2 linked regions of the Lonchura striata genome follow. The protein of the gene in region 1 purifies or fractionates together with the protein of each later gene. This does not show direct contact. Links are inferred from orthologs where the notes say so. Each region holds a gene or a part of one and is shown in the gene's direction. Other genes may lie near its edges.

Region 1 (7,821 bases):
CTATTTAAGTAGAAACTCTGAAAACTTTCTTGCTCCCAGATTTTATAAAGCCCATCTTTTTGGTAAAATCCAAGTGCCAGTGCATTGATTCCCTGCAACCTCATCAATTATCAGTTTTCTTCTGGCAAGAGCACTTGCAGCACTAAAGCCACCCAGCATTTCCAGGGACACTGCAGTCTCCTACCACTGCCCCAGGCACCTTGTGCAACCCTGGTTCATCCTGACCTGCCATATAAGTTTCATTAAATATGTGGCTGCTCTGCAGGACTGCTAGAGAGAACAGGGGATCAGATAAACTTCCTTGCTTTGCTCAGTTAAACTCTGGTTAGGGGGTTTGCAGTGGCCCAAAACAGCACTGCTTATCAACACCAGTTTTGCCAACATTGTTTCCTCATGTATGTTGCCTAGAGCTATCCAGCACTGAGCTCAGCAAGGAACAGCCATCCTTGGAATTACAATATACTCACTAAGACCATGTGTGGGTTTAGCTTGACTGACAGCTACCCTGTGGTGATGGAAACAAATACTTTCCTTTCAGTCTCTTCAATTTGTGCCTTCCACAAGAGTATTTCAAATTTAGGTGTTCGGTGAGGTGTGTTCTTATGTTTAAGTAACACCGTGTTATTTCCTTTACTAAGATTGTGTAGTGGTTGTTGATGCTCAGTTTCCCCTCAAATAAATGGTTTGTGAGGGTGGGAAAGAGGGGGCTTTCTCCCAGAAGCTCCTGGAAGACTTTATGTTCTAGACACAAATGCCACAGCTTGGTATTTTTGTTGGCACCTCCTACTCTGCCATATCGGTTTAGGACTTGTTCTGAAATGCTTGTTATGTGGTGCACACTGGCCGAGGGCAGACTCATGCCACCTAATTTTTTTATGTGGAGCACTGACCTGCATCTTAGCCTGTTCTCATCCACCTCAAACAGAGAGGCAAAACAAGCCTCACACTGCAAGTCCACAGCCAACTGCTCGGCCACCCAGCCAGCAGTGCAGGTGAGGCTCTGCATGTGCAGTGACAGATCTGTCAGCGCATTGCTCAGGGCAGAGCTGGGCAAAAGCAGGCCTGCGCTGTAGGGGTAGTCTGGGGCCAGGGTCTTGCCTGGAGCTGGCTGATACTGAGCACGAATGCTTCCCAGAGTCAGAGCTCTCCTCTGAGACGGGGATGCGTTCCAGGGGCTGGCATTGCCACTGCTGGGTGGCGAGCTGGGGGCCAGGCTGCAGCTGGCCAGCAGTTTGTGGTAAGTAGCCTGGAACACAGCACAGGTAGGGCTGCTGCTGCCACAGGCTTGGTGGAGGGCCCTGAGAAACTGCTCCAGGGGGTCCAGGCTGAAGGCATGTGTGTGGAGGTGGTGGGAAGGAGTGCCTTTTTGACATGTGTGGTTAGAGGAAAGCCACTTAAGGCTTTCAGTGTTGAGCAAGAAGCTCAGAAATCCCAGTTTGCGTTTGCTCTTAATAATGTATCTCCCCACAGAGTCTTTTAAATTGATAAAGCAGCTCCTGGCTTCATCGAAGAGGTTGCTTATTTTGGTGAAATTTCCAGCTAGCAAAGACTCCTTTCCATAGGGGCCTCTGCCATAAAACACATCGCACAGCGAGCTCATCAGACGCACAAACTTGACAGTCCCACTGCAGTTCTGAAATGAGGTAAGGCCCAGTTTCTGGAGGTGCTCCAGTGCCTCAGCAACACCCTCGCTGAACAGCAGGGTAGCGAGGTTGACCTTCAGGTGGTAACTCCCTTTACTCCCAGCCCTGCCTGACTCAGGACTGCACAGCTCCAACACCCTCTGCTCACCCAAAGCTGCCAGCTCCACCACATGCTGCCACCACATGATGTCACCGAGCCACTCGACCTTGTGGAAGCACTGCAGAGCATTCCTTATCAGCAGGAGGGTATGACAAACATCAAAGAAGTACGCAATGCTGTGAGCAGAACCGGGTGGATGCTGGAAAGTGCACTGAATCCTTTTGGGATCTATCCTGATCCCCAAAGCCCTGGCAGTCTCAGCACCGCGAGCAGAGGCACCCGATGTCACAGCCAGGACCATCATCCCAACGTTGTTCAGCTTATGGATGGCCTGACGAAGGAGCTGAGCAAGGAAGTTGCCGGATATACTGTTCACCAAGAAATAGCCAAGGGGAGCTGTCCAAGGGCTCGAGATGCCGACTGCCATGAGGATTATTGCTTCCGACGCCAGTGGAGCTTCGTCAGCGTCAAGGATGCCTGCTCCCAAGTCAACAAAGCCCGTCAGCTGTTTGCTCTGTGGGTCCCACTCCTGCTGCTTCTGCAGGGACACATCCTGTACCAGCACGGCGCAGTAGCGGCAGGCCTGATCCCCTCTCTCCACCTTTTCCTGAAGCTGGAGAAAAATGTCACTGCTGAAGCCTGCAGCAGCCTCGTTATTAGACAGCCAGCTGAAAAAAAAAAAAAAAAGGGATGTGATTAGGAGACATGATTCTGGAAAAGTTGAAGCAACAGGCAGCACTTTTTACGACTTAGGACATGGTCAGCCATGCCCGAGCTGCAGAGAAGGCTGAGACATGCAGGGCAAAGAAGGCAGCCCTGGTTTCCTTCATGCATAGTCCGAGTTTCTCTCCTCTCACCCTAGTGGTAGGAAGCCAAGGAAAGTGTTGACCATGCAGGGAAGTAACAAGGCAGCTTCAGGACAGATCCGTTACATCTATTTCTACACCAGTACTGGAAATACATTCTGAATAAATGAATAACTTAAAACTTGCTTTGTCAGACTGTAAGGATGAGGGAGAGGAAGAATCTTCCGTAGGTAATCATAGGCCTTAATATGGTAGAGATGGAGAAGACAAGCAAATTGCCTCATTTCTGGTGAGTAGTCTGCCATCTGCCTCCAGCTGTGCAACTCTCGAGGCAAATCTGCTTAAGAAATCACAAAAGGTCAACTTTAGCGAAACAAATAAATGGCTGGAAACAGAGGGATGCATGCCATAAACACCCCGCAGAATACAAAGCAACAGCATGGCCTCTGGAACAACTCAGTCCTGAAGGCTGGCATGCAGTGTAGGGCTCAGCAACTACACTACTGTGCCTCGCCTCTTCCTTGGCACGGGTTAAGCAAAGACATGAACCCGGGGCCAGGGAATGCACTCTGCTTCAGCAAGCGTCCCGGCAGTACCTGAAAACTGCGCCTGCAGCAAACTCACGATTTCCTCAGAAAGCTGCCGCTTTTCCGCCAGCTCCCTGAGGATGCTCGGCACGGTCCTGCGCCGATGCGCGGGGCCGCATCTCCCGGCGGCCGGCGGCTGCTGCTGGTGCCGCGGGGCGTCCGGCGGCGGCCGCGGCTCCCGCTGTCCCTGCAGGCTGTAGTTGTGGTCCCCGGCGGGCGGGCTGGGCAGCGGCTGCTTCAGCGTTCGGCCGGGGGTCCCGCTCCTCCTGCGCCCGGCGGCCGGCGGCTCCTGGCGGGGCAAGGAGAGGGCAGGTCACGGCACACGGCGGAACCCCCGGGGGGGTCGGGGAGCGCGCCCGGTACCTGCCCGCACCGAGGGGAGGAAGCGGGAGGGCACGGCCCCCCGCCGCAGCTTCCGCCGCAGCCCGTAGCGCTCGAAGTCCCCTTCGGCGAAGTGTCGGGAGCAGAGGATGGCACCGGGGCCCGGCCGCCACGCCCGGCGGCTCCGCGGGTCCACGCGGTTCACGGCGCGGATCCACTCGCGGCGCTGCGCGGCGTCCACCGGGAACCTGCGGCAGAGGGAGACGGCGGGATGCAGGGACGGAGGGACGGAGGGAGGGATGCGGGCGGGCGGCGCGGGCGCACTCACTGGTGGAAGGAGATGCCGCGCTCGCGGCTCCGCCCGGTGTCGCGCGCGGTGCAGCCCAGCGCGGAGCAGCTCCGCGTCATGGCCGCCGCCGCCGCACCCGCCGCCGCGCGCGCGCCGCGCCGGGCCCGCCCATTGGCCGCCGCCGCCGCCCGCGCGCCCGGCCGCCGCCTCGCCATTGGCCGGCGGGGCCGTCGGACCGCGGCCCTATTGGCCGCGTCACCGCGGGAGGCGGCGGCGGGGCCGGGAGCGGCCCGAGCCAACCGGGAGCGGCGGCGGCGGCGGGCGCAGCCAGTGGCGAGGGGCGATCCTGAGCGCCAATGGGAGCCGCGCCTCCGGCCCTACTTATAGCGGGGCCGGCAGCGCCCGCCGCCTCTGCCGCTGTGCTCCCGCCGGGCCGCGCCATGCGGTCCGGGCAGCGCCCGCCCCGCGCACGGCGTCTGCCCGCCGAGCGGCCGCGGAGCCCAGCGGCGGCGGGAGGCGGCAGCGCAGCTGTGCCCCGGCTGCCGTGAGGAGGTGGGTCCGGGACTGTGGCCCCCGGCTGTGGAAGCCGGCTGAGCTCCCTTGGGCCGTTCCCCGCCCCGAGGTGGCCCCTGTCCCGTGATGAGTCTCACTGCTGTTCACATCCTGAGCACGCCATGATTACTGCCCTTGAGCTGAGGACAGGCGGCACCGCGGCCACCGCGCTGCCGGCGCTGCGCCGGGCTCCCCCCGCTCCCGGCGCCCCTAACCAGTCTCCCTCTTCCCCAGGCCCGATGGCTGCTCCCGCCCGAGGGACGCGGAGGACACGCGCGGAAGGAGGCGGCCGCACATCCCCATACACACTCTCCCATCACCACCGCCCCCCGGTTCCCGTGCGGAAGGCGCGGCCCCGCCGCTGCCGCCCGGAAGCCGCGGGGCGCGCCCGGAAGGCGGTGGCGGCCGGGAGGCGGTGCCGGGGCTGCCACGTTGGAGCGGTCCGGGGACGGGTGAGCGCCGGGGACGCCGATGTGAGGGCAGGGACGGCGAAATCCTCTGTTTCAGTGCTGTTTTCCTCCGGCTCCTGTCGGAAACGGGGCGAGGGTGGCGGTCCCGCTGGCCGCGCGGGGTGCCCCGAGGCGAGGGAGCCCTGGGAATGAAATGGGAGCCAGGAACGAGCCGCTGAGTGTTCGGCTTCCCGGGGCTGGGTTGGTTTCGTGGGTTAAGGCACAAAGCTGCTGTAGGGTGCTTGCTGCTGTGAGAAGAGGGTTTTTCACAGCTGTTGAAGCTTTGCCCACGTTTTCCTGTGTTAGGTTCAGCAGCCGTCAGTTTCCTCTGCGTGTCAATGTTACTCTGCTAATGGAGAGGCATTCCTTCCCTCCGCCGGGTGCCCTCTGGAGGGGATGGCTTGGCTGTCTGTCTGAGGGATATCTTTAGAAAAATGGTCCCTCTGGCTGCTTCTGCCGAGTCCTAAAGTGGCTTCTGTATCCGTGGCAGTGCAGTCTCACCATGCACCATTTAAGCATCACTTGTCTTGGTCTTACTTTTCAGCAAAATGAAGCTGAAGGAAGTAGACCGTACTGCCATGCAGGCATGGAGCCCTGCCCAGCAGCACCCCATTTACCTGGCTACAGGTGAGTTTTTGGGCAGCACGTGCTAGCAGACCTCGGGCTCTGTTTGGTGGCTGCCATGAAGGGGTTATTGAAAGCTGTAGGAGATACTCTGTGTCCTGAGGGCTGGAGTGCAGTATATGTTGTGGGGTTTTGAGCTGAGTTCTTGCATTGTGCTGATAAAAACATGCTTTGCATTCTGCGAGTAACAGTGAGAACCCTTGTCTTTCTGCCAGGGAAAGGTGACACCAATCCTAAGTACTAGTCACTTGTGGCTCCTTTGTCACTTTAACTGCGTTCTGTGCATCATCAGGGAGGTACTTGCCCAAATATTTTCCTGCTCATATTCTTTAAGAAACATCCAAAGAAAGAGCCATGGGGAGGAAAGTTGTGTGGAACTGCATCTAAGTAATAAAAACAGAAGCCTGAGTCCATCTCAGGATCGTTTTTGAAAGGATGATGTTTTTGTTCCCCTCCTTGTGCTGCATTTGCAGTTACTGCTCTGTGTATCATGGCTCTCTCACTGCCAGGTGTGCTTCCTTGCAGGTACATCAGCTCAGCAGCTGGATGCAACCTTCAGTACAAGTGCTTCTCTAGAAATATTTGAGTTGGACTTAGCAGACCCTTCACTGGATATGAAGAGCTGTGCCACATTCTCCTCCTCACACAGGTAGGCAGTGTTGTAAGGGAAAAGTACAGTGTGTGGAACTGTTATGTGTGGTATGTGTAGAGATGTCACTTCATGTGGTTTCACTGCACTTGTTGAGGAGAGAAGCAGTTCAGCACTGAAAGATGAAGGCAAGTGTGTGCAGTTGATACTGTGGGACAGTGATGTTGGACTGTAAGAAAGTAGCTCATGCTTTGACATAAACAGAAAATTTTTGACTATATGTGTGGAGCCTTTATCTTTGGAAGCCTCTGGGATTCACAAGAAAACAGAAGAACATGTGAAATTTTGGTGGCAACTTTTCATATTGCATCATCCTGTTTGTATTTAGGCATTTCAGGGGGACTCCTGTAGCATAACTAACTTGGGTTATGTTGTGTGTGTTCCGACAGCTGGGAAGCCAATTTTCTGGCTGCACAGCTCTACTTAGTTCCTCACCATGTGCTTATCCAGATAAATATTGTTAGCATCAGAGTATCCAGTTTCCATCTCAGCAGCACTCACAGCAGCTCCCTGGCAGAACTGAAACAGCCACAATCCCTTTTTAAATGCCCTGCTCTGTGAGCAGAGCTGATGTCAATATGTCCTACTGACCTGCTCAGAGCAGGAGGCAGTGCTGGATCTTGAGTTTCGTTGTTCTACCTTGTTTTAACTGTGAGTGAAATTTGTCAAGACTTGTCATTTGCATTCTGAATTTCTAGAAGCACTCCTTATAGCCAGGATGCAGTGCTCCTTGGAAAGTACCTCCCTTGACCAGCAACACGAGAATTTGACTTTGCCCCAGAAAATGTATTAAAAATGAGGTTGAGGGTTGTTTGTTTGTTTCCAATTAAAGATTAGATAGCAATGTATACGTCAGGCTGTATTTTGGTTTTCAGCAAATGAAAATGTCCAGGTGATTATACCCACAAAAGATAAATCCTTAATTGCCCTCCAAGCAAAGTTTTGCACTGCTTTTATAGAACCATACTTTATCTTGGAAAGAGTAAAGGGCAAAAGGAAAGTAATTGCACTGTTAATTTTTGGGGTTTGTTCCTCATTGTTTCCTTCCTTCATTTTGGGTTGTTTTAAGTCCTGTTCAGTCTTGGTGGTGATGCCTGGACAGCCCTGTCAGCTACTTCATTTCTGGTAAACTTGCATAGTTAGGTGCAGAAGCATAACAATCATACCCAGGAATGGGTCTGTCTGATATCACAAACCAATTTCCATTTGTAGCAGCATTCTTCCATGAACCCCTTCTGTAATCTCAATACTGGGAGCCTGAACACTTGGCTGTTATGGTATTTCTCACCCAGCATATGCTCTTTGGGTAGCTTTCTGCAGTCTCCATCTTACCATGCTAAAGTTGGTGTGATTTAAATAAATTACTTGAAGATTGCCCAGAGGTAACAAATGGATGAGCAACATTACAGTGAATGCTAAGGTATCTCCTTGCCACTTTCCAGTCAATGTGGGTTTGCTTTCTGCTTGCATAAGAGCTGGTAAGTAGTTGTGTAATTTTATGCAGAACATACTCATTCTTTGCATGGCTAAGTGCACAGGAATGCTGTTTTGCTTATGCAGGAAGTTAATTGACTTGAAGAGAATTTGGGTATTTACAGATGGGCACAATAGTGTTAATTTCTGGAAGTATGTTTGATTCCTATTGAGTTAGCCTGAAAATAGGCTGTGGTCCAGGAGATGTGTCTGTGAGTGATGCTGAGTCCCTGGTATGGCAGACAAAACACTTGCACATCCAAAAGCATAGATACGGAAAAGCATATGGAATTTTTCTACTTTCACCTGTTTTTTTTCTGTATGAAAC
Region 2 (7,536 bases), on another chromosome or scaffold:
AAGTTGCTTTAATTTAAAGAAAGAAAAAGCGCTCGATACGCTGTTTTCTGCTAAAAAAGCTCCTAAATTTATTATTTTTTTAATAAGAAAAAGCTCTTAAAGCTTAAAATAATGGAATTTAGTCCCCACGTGGGGCCGGGCCGGGCAGCGCAGGCGGGGGCGGCCGGTTTGGGGTGAAATGCGGCATTTTCAGACGCAGGATGGATTGAGAGGAGCCAATTTTGAGGGAAGAGCAGGAAAACTGAAGAGTGAAGATGGAATCGGCAGGGAAAGGAAAGTTTTTCTTCGCAGTGGCCCCATCTGGGGGGAAAAAAGGACTTTTTGGTAAAATGGCGGCAGTTGGGCAGGGGAGGAGCAGAGAGAAGAGAGGAAAAAAGGAGAGAAAGACAGAAAATAGAACAAAACAAAAAAGAAAATAGAAGAAAATCAGAAAAAAATTAGAAAAAAATAGAAAAAAGAAAACGAAATTGAAAAAATAGAAATTGGAAAAGCGAAAACTGAAAAAGCATAGAAAAAATGGAAAAATAGAAAATAGAAAAAAGAGAAGAAAGTTGGAGAATAGAAGAAACTAGGAAAACTAGAAAATTTGAGAAAATAGAAGAAATTAGAAAAAAAGAAAATCGAACAAATAGAAAATAGAAGAATCTAGAAAAATAATAGAAAAAATGAAAATAGACTGTAAATAAATAGAAAAATTGCAATTGGGAAAAATGAAACTAGAAAAAAGAAAATAGAAAATTATAGAAAAAAAAAGACCCAAGTGCTGAAAACTTGAGAAGATGGAAGTGAAAGAAAACAGGGAAAAAGCAGAAGAGAGAAAATAGAAGAGAATAGAAGAGAGGAAAAATGAGAGAAAATCAAAGAGGATTTAGAGGAGAAAATAGAAGCGAAAATTAATGAAAAAAAGAAGGATAAAGGGAGAAAAAGGAAGAAAAATCCCGATTTGGGTCCCGGAGCCAGGAAAATTGAGGAATTTGAGGAAAATGCCCCAAATGGAGCCGGAGGCAGCGGCCGGGTGAGGCCCCACCCCCCCGGGGGTTTGGGAATTTTGGGGGGATTTGGGGGGTTTTGGGGTTCTGTCGTTTCAGGCGCCGCCGCCGTCGCCCCTTCCCCTTCCCTCTTTCTATTAAACTCCCCAAAAATGGGGAAAACCCCCCAAATTCCTCCAGCGCCCTCCGGCTCCGCCGCTCCCGCCGGCGCCGCTCAGTAAGTGTCCAAAATCTTTTGTTTTTAACCCAAAGGCGTCGCGCGGGAGGGGCCGGTGATCAAAAAAAAAAGGGAGAGAAATGCTCAAAGAAATGTTTTGTATTTTTTTGGGGTGGGGGGTGGGGAAAGGGGGAGGGGGTGTCTCGAGTGTTTTTCCCCTTCAGGGAAGCAGCAAAACGCAGGGAAAAAAGGCCAAAAAAAAAAAACCCAAAACGGTGAGAAAAAGCCGAGGAAAGGGAAAAAAAAAGAGAGGATTTAACCAAAAAAGGCCAGTCTGCACTCAAAACGCGCTCAGGAGATTCCGGCAGGGATTTGAGGAGAAAACCCCCAGAGCTGGGGAATGCAGAGAAGTAAGAGTCGATTTTCTTTCTTTTCATTTTTTGGGGAGGTCGGTTTTTGGTGGGTAGGGGGCGGTTTTGGGGTGTTTTCCGCCCTTTCCGCAGCCGCAAGTGAGAGGAGGCAGCAGCAGCAGCAAAAAGAAGCTTTTTTTGCCCCAAAGTGAAGCTGGAAGAGCAGGAATTTGGCTCCAGGAGCTTTCCTTAGGAAAGAAAAAAAAACCGTAAACCCCCACCCCAAAACCCCGTGGAGGGAGGGGCTGGAGCAGGCGTGGGGGGAGGGGACAATAATCATGTTTCCAGGTTTTTTTCTCCCGAAACCAGCAGCAGGAATGCTTAAATTTAGACTTTTGTCCCCAAAACGAGTAAGTGTAGGAGCGAGCAAGGGGCGGGAGCCTCGAATTTGAGGCAAAACCCCCCAAATCGGCGGTGGCAGGTACCGGGTGCGCCCCCCCCCCACCCTGAGCCCCCCCCCGGGACCCGCGCGGGGTGGGGGGGGGAGGGCGGCAGATTTGGGGCGATTTCGGCCGGTTTGGGGCGGGGGGAGCGCGGGGACCCCCCCGGACGTGGCATGCGGGCACCTCCCGACCCCAAATCCCCCCAAAACCGGCGGAAAAGCGCGACCCGCGGGCGGTTTGACCGATTCGGCCGCTTTTCCCCCCAGAATCAGTTGTGCTGACAGGGTGTGTGTGTGTGGGGGGGTCTCGTGGGTGTTTTTTGCAGCCCCGCCGGCCCTGCCCCCGCCAGAGGAGCCTCCAAGAGCCAGACTGGGGCAAAAAAACCCCCAAATCAGGGTCTGCAGGAACAGTAGGGAGCCAGAAATTGGTATTTGTGCCGCTTTCACCCCAAAATGGGCCACTCCAGGGATGGAAGGGGAGGGGGAGCTTTGGGTTTGGCTGCTTTCCCCCCCACCCACTTAAAAAAACCCTAAAAATTGCTAAAATTGCTTCAGAATGCGCTGCTCGTTGGGCCCGCCCCCAAGCTGGGAATTGAAACAAAAAAAAGGGTGTTTTCCACCCCAAAAAAGTGCTTAGTCAGCGCTTTCGCCTGGTGCCTGGGGAGGGGGAGGAGCTTTTGTACCGTTTCCCCCGGATTTTCCCCCAAAGCAAAGGGATGGAGGAGCCAGGTGTGCGGGATGGGGGGCTGGCTGTTGTCTCTCTCCCCTCCCCACAGTGACAGTGCCAAAACCGCCTTGATTCGCCCCAAAATGGACAATTTGCTCCAAAAAAAAAAAACCAAAAAGGCTTAAAAAACTAGAAATTCCCCCCAAAATAAGACAGGTGAGCCAGCAGAGTAAGTACCGGCGGGGCCCCGGGACGCGCCGAGCCCCAAAATCGCCCGTTCTCGGCCCGAGCCGCGAGGGGGGCGCGCGATGGACCCCAAACCCCGTTTCGGAGCCGATCCCGTGCCGGGGGCGCGCGGCCGACCCCAAATCCTCCTTTCGGACCTCGCTGTGCTCCGGGGGCGCGGGATTAACCCCAAATCCGCCGGTCTGAGCCCATTTTGCGCCCTCATTTCCTCCTCCCGGCCCCGTTTTGCGACCGGGACGCGCCCGTGACCCCAAATCCGTTTCTGAGTCTTGTTTTGCGCCTGGGCCGTGACTCGGACCCAAAATTCCCGTTTCTCCGCCCAAATTGCGCCGGGGGCGCGTGGTGGGTCCCAAACCCCCCAAACCGCCCGTTTTCGGGTGCGCTCCGGCCCCAAATTCCCCACATTTTGCCCCAAGTCGCTTGGGGCGGGGCCGGACCCGTTTTGGGGAGGTTTTTTTTGCTTTTTTTTTTTCCCCGTTTCGGGAGGTTTTTTCTTTTCCTGAGAAAACTTTACCCCGTTTTCTCAGGTTTTGCTTTTTCTCCTCTGGACCCAAAAAGGCCGAAAAAAAAGCAAAAGGCGCCGGTGGTGGCACCCCCGGGACCCCCCGGGGCGGGGTTCGACTCCCCGCGGCGCCGCTGCTGCTGGCCTGGGGTCCTGTCCCGACACAGACCCCCCATATCACGACAGGGAGCCCCATGTTGTGGTGGAGAACCCCCCCCGTTTCTCCTCCTTGACTTGGGGATCTGGAAATCCAGAGGAAAGGGAGACCCCTGTATCCCGACAGGGACCTCATATCGCGATAGGAGCCCCCGTATTGTGATAAGGACCCATTATCACGACAGGAATCCCCCCACGTGTTCACATGGTTTTGGGGGACCCATGGTACGAGGGCGGGGGCGATTCCATGTTGTGACAGGGACCCCTTTTGGTAATAGGGCCCCACATGTCGTGACAGGGACCCCCCCCATTGTCCCAGAGCCCCACACCGGGTGACCCACAGTACCAGGATGGGGGTGCCCCGTGTCACGACAGGGATGGTCTATCGCGACAAGAACGTCTGTCCACGCTCTGCAAGGGCTCCGATCCTGGCAGGACCCTGGATGAAGATGAAGATGGACGCTCCTGTCGCGACAGTGCCCCTGTATCGCGACAGGAGCGGGACCACGAGTGGGCGCCGCATCGCTGTGAGCCCCCCCTGTCGCGACAGGGACCCCCAGTGACCAATAAACGGCAGAGCCCCGACCGCGCCTGTGTCGTCATTGGGGCTGGGGGGGGGGTGCCCTTGGTGCATATGACGTCACTGGCTGCTCCCTCTGACGTCATCGCAGCGCGGGCTGGGCCCGCTTGGTGACGTCACCGCCGCTTCCTGCCGCGTGTCCTGTACAAGCCCCGCCCCGTCCCGGCGGGTTTGGCCTCGCCCCCTTTCTAGCCCCGCCCCTTCCTCATTGCTGGCCGCTCATTGGTTCTTTCAGGCCCCTCCCCTGTCCCTTATTGGCTCTCCCGAGTCCCGCCCTTCGCTCCTCCCATTCCCCACCCCCGCGCTCTCATTGGCTCCCCCAGGCCCCACCCTTCGCCCCTCATTGGCTCGCCGGGGCCCCGCCCCCCCGGCCCGTCACCGGATCCTCCCGCCCGGCGCCGCCGCCGCTTCCTCCGGGCCCGCTGCGGCCCCGGGAGCCGCCGGGAGCCCCGGGGAGCCGCGGCCCCGCCATGTGGCTCTTCTCCCGGGACCCGGTGCGGGACTTCCCCTTCGAGCTGGGCCCGCCCGACGCGGAGCCCGACGCGGAGCCGCAGCCGGACCCCGCGGCGCCGGCCCCGCTCTGGCGGCTGCTGCGGGGCCGCCGCAAGGTGCGGGGGGGGGGGGGGGGTCCGTGTCCCCTCGGTGTCCCCGTCCCCGCACCCTGCATGGCCACGGCCCCGCCATCCCTGCCCCGAGTCCCCCCCGGTGTCCCCTCGGTGTCCCCAGCCCTCATCCCCCCGGCCCGGCTGTCTCCTGCCCCCCGCCCCGCTGGCCCCAGCCCCGTGTCACCGCCGTCCCCGTGTCCCCAGGCCGATGGCGCTCCGGTGTCGGTGTTCGCTCACAGCCTGGCCCCGGGGGGCGACCCCGGTGCCACCGGCCTGGCCCGGGCGGGGCTGAAGCGGCTCCGCAGCCTCCGGCACCCCAACATCCTGGGCTACCTGGACAGCCTGGAGGTGACGGCAGCGGGGACAGCGGGGGGACAGCGGGGACATGGGGGTGGCTGGGGGGACATGGGGACAATGGTGACAGGGGGAGCGGGCAGTCATGCTGGGACAGGGGGACACTGGGGGGACAGGGCCGGTGGTGACAGCGAGGGGATGAAGGAGGGACACAATGGGGGGACACGGGGGTGACCCCGAGTGTCCCCCCAGACGGAGCAGTGCCTGTACCTGGTGACCGAGGCCGTGACCCCCCTGCGGCGGCACCTGCGGCTGCACCCCCCGAGCGGGGACGCGGGCGAGCAGGAGGTGGCCTGGGGGCTGCAGCGGCTGCTGGTGAGGGGGGGATCCCTGAGGGGAGACCTGAGACCATTGGGGGGACCCCAAGATCCGGAGAGTGGGGGGGATCCCCAGGGTCTTGGGTGGAGGGATCCCCAGGGTCTTGGGTGGGGGGGATCCCCAGGGTCTTGGGTGGGGGGGATCCCCAGGGTCTTGGGTGGAGGGATCTCCAGGGTCTTGGGGGGGGGGTCTCCAGGATCTGGGGGGGTTCTGGGATCCAGGGGGGGTTTCTGAGAGGTTTTTGGCTATCGGGGGGTTTTTGCCCCCCCAGACGGCGCTGGCGTTCCTGGGGGCCTCGGGGCTCGTTCACCACGCGCTGGGGCTCGACGCCGTCTTCGTGGACCCCGGCGGCGAGTGGAAGCTGGGGGGGCTGGAGCGGGTGGCGGCCACCAGCGAGGGGACCCCCACACGCCCCCCCAGCGACCCCCCTCGGCCACAGGACCCCCCCGAGCTCAGTAACCCCTCCCGAGGCCAGGGGGACCCCTGGTGAGTTGGGGAGGGCACCTGAAAAAGGGGGTGGGGGGGGGTTCAGGGGACCACGGGGGTCTCCTGTGCCCCCTCCCCACTGTCACGGCCCCCCCCAGGGCAGGGGACATGTGGCGCCTGGGCTGCCTCATCTGGGAGGTCTTCAATGGACCCCTCCCCCGGCCGGGGGCTCTGCGCAGCTTCGGCAAGGTCAGGGACCCCCCCCAAAATCCTGGGGACCCCCTGAACACCCGGGATCCCCCAGTTTGACTCCCCCCAGACTTGGATCCCCAGATTTCTGCTCACCCCCCAGATCCCCCCCCAGGCTCGGGGGTCCCCCTGTCCCCCCAGCCCCTGGGGTGCCCCTGACCCTGTGTCCCCCCTGTCCCCCAGCTGCCCCCCGGGCTCATCCCGCCCTTCTCGGAGCTGGTGGCGGCGGATCCGGGGGCCCGGCCGGGCCCGGGGCCGCTCCTGGAGCGGCTGCAGCGCCCTGGAGCCTTCCTGGCCTGCGCCCTGGTGCGCACCGGGCTCTTCCTCGAGCACTTCCAGGTCTGGCTTCAGCCTCGCCTCGTCCCTGTTCCCTCTGTTATTTTTCATTCAGAACACCTCATCCTCATCCTCGCGTTCATTCCTGTTTTATTCTCATTCCCATCCCTGTCTCCTCATCTTTGTGCTTGTTGTTGTTCCTCATCCCCATCATCATCCTCATCCCCATCGCTGTCTCCTGATCGTCCCTCAATCCTCATGCTTGTCCCATTCCCGTGTTCATTTATGTTCCTTTTGTCTCATTTTCATTCCTGTTCCTTCATCCCTGCTCTTCCATCCTCATCTCGTTCCCATCCCTGTCCCCTCATCATCCTCACCATCATCATTGTTTTCACTCCTATTCCTTCATTCTCTTCCTCACCTTCATCCCCATCATCCTCCCCATCCCCTGATGTCCCCCCCGACCCCCGGCAGGTCCGGGACCCCTCGGAGCGCCGGACGTTCCTGCAGGAGCTGCCCCCTCTCCTGGAGTCCCTCCCGGGGCCCTTCCGCAGGCACAAGCTGCTCCCGAGGCTGCTCGAGGCCCTGGAGCTGGGCAGCGCCGACGCCAGCGCCCTGCCCCCGCTGCTGCAGGTGAGACCCCCCCCAAAATACCCCCCAAAACCTCCCTGACCCCCAAAATCCCACCCACAACCTCCCTGCTCCCGCTGCTGCAGGTGAGACCCCCCCCAAAATACCCCCCCCAAACCTCCCTGACCCCCAAAATACCCCCCAAAACCTCCCTGACCCCCAAAATCCCCCCCAAAATCTCCCTGACCCCCAAAATCCCCCCTAAAACCTCCCTGGCCCCCAAAATCCCCCCAGTAACCCCCATAGCCCCCTGGTCTCCCCCCGCTCCCCCAGGTGGCGAAGGTGCTGGACCCCCCCGAGTACCAGGAGCGAATTGTCCCCGTCCTCGTCCGGCTCTTCTCGTCCCCTGAGCGGGGCCTGCGCCTGCGCCTGCTGCAGCTGGTGACTGGGAGCACTGGGAGGGGGCTGGGATGGGACTGGGAGCACTGGGATGGGACTGGGAAGGGATTGGGAGGCAGTGGGAAGGACTGGGAGAGATGGTGGGGTTATCCATGGGGTTTAGGGGGTCACTAGGAGGGGTCTATGAGTTCAGAGGAGGCCTGGGGGGGGGTCTATGGGGGGCGATCTGTGGTTTTTGGGGGTCCCTGGG

The links.
Region 2: the proteins of SEC31A (region 1) and N-terminal kinase-like protein purify together in Homo sapiens (affinity purification with mass spectrometry; 3 studies listed by BioGRID and IntAct, counting the BioPlex papers as one, with this or other methods). This does not show direct contact. The link is inferred for Lonchura striata from reciprocal best matches to the Homo sapiens genes SEC31A and SCYL1.

What each region holds. Positions count from the first base shown.
Region 1 is NC_134606.1:60,923,997-60,931,817, reverse strand, and holds the start of SEC31A (protein transport protein Sec31A), read left to right. Parts: upstream 1-4,634; 5' UTR 4,635-4,750; intron 4,751-5,291; 5' UTR 5,292-5,295; coding exon 5,296-5,374; intron 5,375-5,896; coding exon 5,897-6,020; intron 6,021-7,821. UniProt on the Homo sapiens protein: Component of the coat protein complex II (COPII) which promotes the formation of transport vesicles from the endoplasmic reticulum (ER).
Region 2 is NC_134638.1:549,132-556,667, reverse strand, and holds the start of N-terminal kinase-like protein, read left to right. Parts: upstream 1-4,515; 5' UTR 4,516-4,559; coding exon 4,560-4,697; intron 4,698-4,898; coding exon 4,899-5,042; intron 5,043-5,240; coding exon 5,241-5,363; intron 5,364-5,637; coding exon 5,638-5,852; intron 5,853-5,950; coding exon 5,951-6,041; intron 6,042-6,224; coding exon 6,225-6,380; intron 6,381-6,791; coding exon 6,792-6,950; intron 6,951-7,220; coding exon 7,221-7,328; intron 7,329-7,536. UniProt on the Homo sapiens protein: Regulates COPI-mediated retrograde protein traffic at the interface between the Golgi apparatus and the endoplasmic reticulum. Involved in the maintenance of the Golgi apparatus morphology.